2 linked regions of the Canis lupus familiaris genome follow. The protein of the gene in region 2 purifies or fractionates together with the protein of the main gene of each other region. This does not show direct contact. Links are inferred from orthologs where the notes say so. Each region holds a gene or a part of one and is shown on either strand. Other genes may lie near its edges. The genes, in order: SMARCA5 and BAZ1B.

The links.
Region 1: the proteins of BAZ1B (region 2) and SMARCA5 purify together in Homo sapiens (affinity purification with western blotting; 11 studies listed by BioGRID and IntAct, with this or other methods). This does not show direct contact. The link is inferred for Canis lupus familiaris from reciprocal best matches to the Homo sapiens genes BAZ1B and SMARCA5.

The regions. Positions count from the first base shown.
Region 1 is NC_049236.1:43,021,577-43,026,189, reverse strand, and holds the start of SMARCA5 (SWI/SNF-related matrix-associated actin-dependent regulator of chromatin subfamily A member 5), read right to left. Parts: upstream 2,884-4,613; 5' UTR 2,413-2,883; coding exon 2,236-2,412; intron 1-2,235. UniProt on the Homo sapiens protein: ATPase that possesses intrinsic ATP-dependent nucleosome-remodeling activity.
Region 2 is NC_049227.1:6,663,301-6,667,113, reverse strand, and holds part of BAZ1B (tyrosine-protein kinase BAZ1B), read right to left. Parts: intron 2,143-3,813; coding exon 2,004-2,142; intron 1,112-2,003; coding exon 981-1,111; intron 1-980. UniProt on the Homo sapiens protein: Atypical tyrosine-protein kinase that plays a central role in chromatin remodeling and acts as a transcription regulator. Involved in DNA damage response by phosphorylating 'Tyr-142' of histone H2AX (H2AXY142ph).

The sequences.
Region 1 (4,613 bases), on a different chromosome or scaffold from region 2:
TTCCTGGGAAGGTCAGCCTTGTCAGAAAAAAATTTGTAAAGGCCAAGACTTCATTTATTTTCTAATTTTGAAAAAAAAATCCACGTTAAATTCTACTTTTAAACAACAAAAAAAAAAGGCATTTAATTTAGGATTGCCAGATACATTAAATATATAGACTCAAACCTAGTTTTTATCACTGAACTTCAATGATTTCCAACCAAGTTCAGTTAAGAAAATGACTAAAGGTACATTTACTTAAAAAAAATTGTTTTAAATCAACACGAAGAGAAACAAAATCAAGACTAAAACTAGTAAATGAAGAAATTGATTTAAAAAATGAAATTACCCATGTTCCTATTTCAAAAAAGCAAAAATAAGTCATTCCTCAAGAAATAAAATTCTCGAACCTACTTCTTGTAAGAATATGACAGGGTAAAATATGTGGGAAATGGGTCCATTTCAGAGCCAGACCTGGGTTCTATCAGACATTCTACTTATCAAAAGACTCAATTTCTTTATTTGGCAAATAAATATGGCCTGGACTTCATTTGGTACTTGTTATGACATCAATATCCATACTTAAAACTTTAATTCCACTTAAATTTTAAAGTAGCAACTGAAAGGCAGTTTAGGCTTTAAAATACTCTGCTTTCTAATATTTAACCTCTCCAGTGAGATACTGGTTGTTATTGCAGAATTTGAACGACAGACCCTTTTGAGAGGCTGATGAAAACTATGGACACCCTTTTGCAGAGAATTGTCTATTTACACACAATTGCTTTCAGTGTCAAAGATTTTCAAACCCACTTACATACACCACGAAGCAAGAATTCAAGTTAAACAGTCCTGGTAATTCAAAACAACCATTTAAAACCTTAAGAAAAATAAGCAACACTTGATAAGAATTTGAAGCTAAAATCAAAACACTTAAAAATACAGGATATCAATGTCCTACTGCACTAAAACCTACCCTCACCACAAAATTCTCTCATAAACTATTAACGTGATGTTACGTCACCCTAGATTAGACCTTTGGTGCCCAAGTAAAACTTTGGTACGCCAAATGCTCCAATGATAAACTGCACTTCCATTTACGTATCGTGTTAATTCTGCATCAAGGATCCTTTTCAGAGCAGTATTACCTTCACTCCTTCTACCTAAGGATGGAAAAAATCCCAGAAATCTGTAGGCCGTGACTATAAAATAACTCAAAACAGACCGAAGACCAAGAATAAAATTTGGAAGGAGCAAGCAATTACTTTGTTCCCAGACATCACAAAGTCTTGGAGCATGCCCAAGAGACCCGCCTGGCAGCTCCCCAAACTTTCCACCCCCGCAGCGCTGTCACCATCCCCTGGCCAACCCTAGCTCTGGAAGGGAGGCTCGACTAGCGAGCAGTACCAATTTTCGGGGGGGGGGGGGGGGGTTGGGGGAGGAGGGTGGAAGGAAGGCCAAGGCCCAAAAAGAGGAATTGCGCTGAACATGAAAGCCAACAGCCCCATTGTCATTAATTCACCATTCACCCATCCATCCCCTGACTCAAATTAGATGGGGGTCCAAGACAGCTGCTGCTGCTGCCTTGGTCGCTTTCCCTCCCAAAGGAACAGTGCCTGGGAGGAGCCTCGTCTCCCTCCATGGGAGCAGCTGCGCCCCGCTTATCCCCACTGCGCACTCGGCCTTCCAGCTCAAGCCATTGTTTCTGCCCAAAACGGATACCGCCCCCACAAGGCCTGGGATGAAGAAAAACAAGGTCTGGGCCCTCGGACGCACCGCTTTTAAATGCCTTCCTACCCCGCGCATCCTTCCCTCGCCACTAAGGGGCATCTCTCCCTACCTTCCCGCAAGTTTAGTGGAAACTAAAAGCTAGAATCAGAGATGGGGGAGGGAATTATGGGAGTTTACCGAAAAAAAAAAAAAAAAAAAAAAAAAAACCCACAGAAAACAAAAATCGGGTAGGTCCTTCTCGGCCTCGGTAATCAATAACATGTGTTTAATAACAGCGTTGGAGAATTTGGCAAGATTCGCTGGAGACAAATAATGTAAACATGAAGTGCCAGAAATCCATCGGAGTCGGCGTGGGGAGGTTAAGCACAAGGGCGCAGGGTTAATCACTTCGGATCCCAAGGGTCCGAGGCCGAGTTTGGATGCAGGAGGGGTGGGAAACGGCTCTGCGTGCGATCACTGAAATCCGGGCGAGGGAACCGGCTCCCCCTCCCCACTGCGCCCTCGCCCCGCGCCACAAGCCACTCTCACCTCCATCTCGGAGTCCGCGGGGCCGGAGCCAGCCGCAGAGGGAGTCGCCTGGGCCGCGACGCCCTCCGGGCCGCCTTTGTTGCTGCTGTTGCTCACGCTGCTGGCGGCCGGGGCTGCAGGCTTGGAAGGCGCGCTCTCGGGAGGCGGGGGTGGCGGAGGCTCCGCCGCGGACGACATGATGTTCCGTGTGCGTCACCCGCTGCTGCCAGAGGCCCGGCTCGGCAGAGATGAGAAGGCCCGGGCCTGGGTGGTTACGTCGCAACGAGCTGACGGAGGAGCGAGAGGGCCACCCGAATGCCCCCTGGCGCCGCGGCTCTCCTACGAGCCGGAACCGGGCCCGCAGCCTCCCCCTTGCGTCCGCCTCCTCTTCCGCGGGGCTCGGGATTCGAGCGGCGCTTACCTCACGGCGGGAATCACGTCGACAAGAGTGGGCGGGGCCGCCTGGGTCACCGAGGTCAGGGAAGGCGGGTTGATTTACGGGAGGGCGGAGGGTTGGAGTTAGGGGAAAGGAAAGCGAAAGAGAGACCGACGCCGGGAACTAGCTTCGCCGCCCCCTTTTCTTCCTCGGGGAAAAAAATCATCTATCTCACCAGCATCCAGGACAACTACCTACGCCACCGACTTTCAACCCTCGCGAGATTAATAGTTGGCTGATTGACTAGGTTCTGAGTGCGCCTGCGCGTTCCCTCGCCTCACCTTTGGCCACGCCCCCGGAGGGCTCCCAGCGGCCTCCAGGGCGAGGAGTGGGCGTGGCCTCGGGGCCGTGTGTGAAGACGTAGGTTTGGGCGTCGCTCCGAGGCGTGACGCAAACGCGGGGTCTAACGGCTGTGCTCGTCCGCGCTCGCCCCCGGGCTTGGCGGGGGCGGATGGCACCGTCTGAGAACTCGCCGGAACTTCGCGCCGCGCATGGAACGCTGCTGTGCGCGGAGTTTAACACTTTATCGCCTCCGCTTATAGGCGTGACGCCATGGCGGTGACGTTACGGTTGTCCCAAATGACGTCTTTCTCGTCTCATGAAAAGTTTGTGTGATTTTTCTTTCGTCTTCCCATGGTAGCTATATTCATCATTTCTAAATTTCTTGTACTTCGATACAAGTTGGACTGTATTTCCTCCAAATTTACATGCTAAAAGTAAAAAAAGAACTATGCACGTGGCCACGTGAGAAACGAGTAACCAAGGAAGAGAGGCGGTGGGTTGTGTTTTCCTCAACCACCAAATATTCAATAAAAAGTACCTTCTTTCATTAAGAAATGTTGCAGGCAGGGGATCCCTGGGTGGCGCAGCGGTTTGGCGCCTGCCTTTGGCCCAGGGCGCGATCCTGGAGACCCGGGATTGAATCCCACGTCGGGCTCCCGGTGCATGGAGCCTGCTTCTCCCTCTCCCTCTGCCTATGTCTCTGCCTCTGTCTCTCTCTCTCTGTGTGACTATCATAAATAAATAAAAATTAAAAAAAATAATCTAAAAAATTTTTTTAAAGTACAAAAATGTTCATTACATAGTGTCAATTGAAAAAAAATTTTAACAGTTCAAAAATATAGATAAAATTTGAAAGGATAGTCATAAAAGTATTGAAAGTGGTGGTGTATATGTCCTAACTCTTTTGTGTTTGTATTTTTTATTTTTTAAATGAGTTTTTATATTATTGAGAAAATTTATTTTTAATATTAAAAAATGTTCTTTTACCTAAAAAAGTTCAGGTATCAGGGTAAAAGTTAGTGTCCAGGGTGGTATCTGACATATACACACAATAAACAATTGTTTGATAAAAATGTATTTAATATTGACATTGTTAAGTAGGAAGAATATAACATTTAATATTTGGAATATTTCTCCACTCTATAATAATACATATCTTGGGCCCTGTTTTGGAAACCCTAAAAATATATGTAAGTATGTAAATGGAAGGTTCTTAAGTCTAAGTATTACTGGAATGCCTGTGTGGCTCAGTGTTTGTCTGCTTTTGGCTCAGGGCATGACCCCAGGGTCCTGCCATCGAGTCCCACATCCGGCTTCCTGCAGGGGGCTTTCTCCTTCTGCCTATGTCTCTGCCTCTCTCTTTGTATCTGTATGAATAAATAAATCTTTTTTTAAAGAAAAGTCTGAGGATTATTTAAGGGAACCAATAAATAGCAAGAAAAGCAATAAATAAAACTGCCTTTAAAATGGCAGTTGTCTTTTAACGTGCGTTTATACTGTGAGTTTCTCATACAAGCATATAAAATCTGTATAGGAATCTTAAAAATAGAGGAGAGATACAGAAGAAAGAAGAGAAAACAATGTTTGAATCCACTAATCCAACATGAGGAAAAGAGAAACAAATTTTGAGCAGGGTCTAGAAGCAGCAAGAGAAGCTGCAGAAAATGCAGGATGCTGGGCA
Region 2 (3,813 bases):
GCTGAAGGCAGCCGCTCAACCGCTGAGCCAACCAGGCGTCCCTAACTCTTGATTTTGGTTCAAGTCATGACCCCAGGGACGTGGGACTGAGTCCTGCATCAGGTTCTGCACAGGGCATGGAGCCTGCTTGGGCTCTATCACCCTCTGCCCCTCCTCCAACCCTTAAAAAAAAAAAAAAAAAGGCATTATCTGACCCAAAATGTCAATAATGCTGAGGTTGAGGAAACCTGACCTAACCTGACCTTTTTTATTAAAAATTTTTTTCTTGAGATATTATACATATGAATATTGCAAATTTACACATAATGTATGTTCAATATATATGTGGCTCAAGAAAAAATATATATACACATCTATCAAAATATACTTGTGTATTTATTTATAAACTGAACATACCCATGTAACCAGAATCCAGATCAAGAAAAAGAACATCAGTGACCCTTTATGACCCTTTCTCACTTATTTTTAATTAGTTATTTGCTGTGTTTCCCCCTCACTAGAATTTCAGTTAAATGGCATTCAGGACCTTATCTGGCTTATTTGCTATCTTGTACCACAAAACATGAAAAACTAGGTGGCACACATGAGATGCTCTACTCAAACTGAATAAATAAACTCTGAAAGCAGAGGAAGAAGACCCGTAACTATCTTCTTAGCCCTTTACCTCAATTCCAGCCACTAAGGCACCTACCGAGACACTTCCAAGGAACAAAGTTTGAGGACTACTCATATAAAATCTAATACCTAGCTATTCTAATATTCAAGCTCTTTATCTTTTCACACTATACCTGAAACAAAGCTGATAATCAAATGCTAGTTTCCCTCCTAGATCCATGCATCTCACATTCTCCCGCCCCCATCAAATACATCTACCTAAGAAGACAATAAAGAAACTCTGCAAATAGAAAAAGTGACCAAGGAGAGACAGTCCTTAATAATGACCCTACTAGAAAGCGTAAAAGAACTGACAGAATACATACTACGGGGACAGTAATCTTCATCAGGAGAGTCTGCACGGTCTTTGCGGTGATTGAATCGGTAGTCGATGCTATCATGAACCCAGCCTTTTTCAATGAATAATCCTGGAACTTCATCTGAGAAGAGCCAGTATCTAGAAATCACAACCATATATTAATAAACTAATGACAAATCATGAGCACAGGATGACTTCAGTGTTAGAGGAATTGATACAGAGTATCACTGAACATTCAGACAGATACAAATGATAAAGTAAGGCACAGAATACCAACATTTTTTAAATTTGAGATTTGCTTTATAGCTTTAATTTTTTAAAATTTTTTTTTAAAGATTTTATTTATTTAAGAGAGATACACAGAAAGAGAGGAAGCAGAGACCCAGGCAGAGGGAGAAGAAGGTTCCTTGCAGGGAGCCTGATGTGGGACTCCATCCCAGGACTCTGGGATCACGCCCTGAGCCGAAGGCAGATGCTCAACCGCCGAGCCACCCAGGCGTCCCAATTTTTATAACTTCTAATATTTCTCTACTCTAGGTCCCACACAATGTACACATGTAAAACATATTACCATTTCTAATGACCTCTATTTGGATTGCGTTTCACCTATCATAATAATTTAAGCTCATATTTATGGTATCTTCCAGAACTGGGCCATATGATGGCTCAGTGGTGACTCAGTTGGTTAAGCATCTGCCTTCAGATCCTGAAGATCTGAGATCAAGTCCCTCATCAGGTTCCCCGCTCAGTGGAGAACCTGTTTCTCCCTCTAGCCCTGCTCAGGCTCCTGCTCTCTCTCAAATAAATAAATAAAATGTAAAAAAAAAAAAAAGAAGAACAGGATCATATCTTATTTAACTTTTAACTCTAACATGTGGGCAGAGAAAACATTCAATAAATATGTGATAAGCAATTGTTTCCAAAATCCATAAACAGGGAAGTTTTTCTATTCTAAATACTTTAGAGTTTCATAACTAGGAACAATATAATAACCCTAAAACATGACAAAAAAATAAATCTAATAACTTACCTGTTATGGTTTCTATCTGTACCAATAGGAGTCCTACGCATGACTAGCTTTGCCTTGGCAATTCCTTCCTGGAAAGCCTTCTCAGCAGCTGCTTTATGCTTTCGTATTCGTTCTTCTTCAGCTTCGCGTTCTAGTTTCACTAGTAAAGATCAAAAGAATCAACTAGATATGTTTCCTAATAATTCCTATTCTTATAAATTAAATAAGATACGGAACAGAAAATATAAAGGGAGATTTCTATCAAACCTTAGCTTCCTTCTCCTAATTCTGATCTGTTGTAAGAAAGTTTTAAAAAAGATTTTATTTATTTGACAGAGTGTGAGCTAGAGGGAGAGGAAGAAAGAGAATCTGAAGCAAATTCGATCACTACCCAAGATCACGACCTGAGCCAAAACCAAGAGCTGGCTGCTCAACCGACTGAGACCACCCAGGCACTCCTATAAGGTAGAAATTTCTGTCTGGTTTTCCTATGTCCTTTGAATTCTGGTCATACTGCAGCCATCAACTCAGTGAAAATTCTTTTCTCTCCAAAATTTAACTTTAGTAATTAGATTAATTTTATTAATAGTTTAAAATGAAATATTAAAACAGTCTTTAAGGGGTACCAGGGTGACTCAGGCAGTTAAGTGTCTGCCCTAGCTCAGGTCATGATCCCAGGGTCCTGGGATGGGCAGCTCCTACCCTCACTCTCACTCTGCTCTCTCAAATAAATCAATAAAATCCAAAACAACAAAAAACCTTAAGTGGAATTATTTGATCCTCAAAATGATCAGAATGAATAAAACCGGAATAGCTATTTCAAAATGAAACCTACTTCAGTCCTGAGAAATTTTATCATAATTCAGCTTATTAATTAATTAGCCTCAGTGACAAAAAAAAAAAAAAAAAAAAAGACCTAAGAAAGCAAAGGCAGGCAAGTACTTGTGCATAATAGCAATCAATGCATACTGAACACCATTTAGGGGGTTATTCAGTAAGTTACTAATGTTAATGATGAAAAAAAACGTTTTGGGGCACCTGGGTGGCTTAGTTGGTTAAGTGTCTGACTCTTGGTTTCAGCTGAGGTCATGATCTCAGGGTCATGAGATGAAGCCCCATGTCGATTCTCCACACTTGAGATTATCTCTCTCCCTCTGCCCCTGCCCAAGCTTGTAGGCTCTAAAATAAATAAACTTTTTTAAAAAAAAGTTTTAATCAACTTATTTCTGATCATTCATTATATGGGTTTATTTCATTCAGACAGAAATTTCTCTCAATAACAAAAACAGCCATGTAATCTTGCCTTTTTAGTTTTTCTATAACTGTAACAAATTTTGAAACTCAAAGTATAGAGCACTACCATTTACAATGCTAAAATTTTTTTTTTAACGATTTTATTTATATATTCATGAGAGAGAAGCAGAGGGAGAAACAGGCTCCCCCTGGAGCAGGGAACCTGATGCAGGGCTCGATCTCAGCCACCTTCTTTGTAGAAATTAACAAGCTGATTCTAAAATTACCATAGAATCATGAGGGACCCCAGAACATACAAACCTATTTTGAAAAAGAGTAAATTAGAAAAATTCACACTTCCCCACTTCAAACTTACTACAAAGCAACAGTAATCAAGACATTGGTATGGTATAAGGACAGACATATAGATCAATACAGGAGAACTGAGTCCAAAAACAAACCAGTGCGGCTATAGCCAATCGTTTTTGATAAGGGTGCCAAGATCATTCCACGGAGAAAGAACAGTTATTTGAATAAATGATGCTGCAACATCACTGAACAGCCACATACAAAAGAGTAAGGTTGGATCCATACTCTC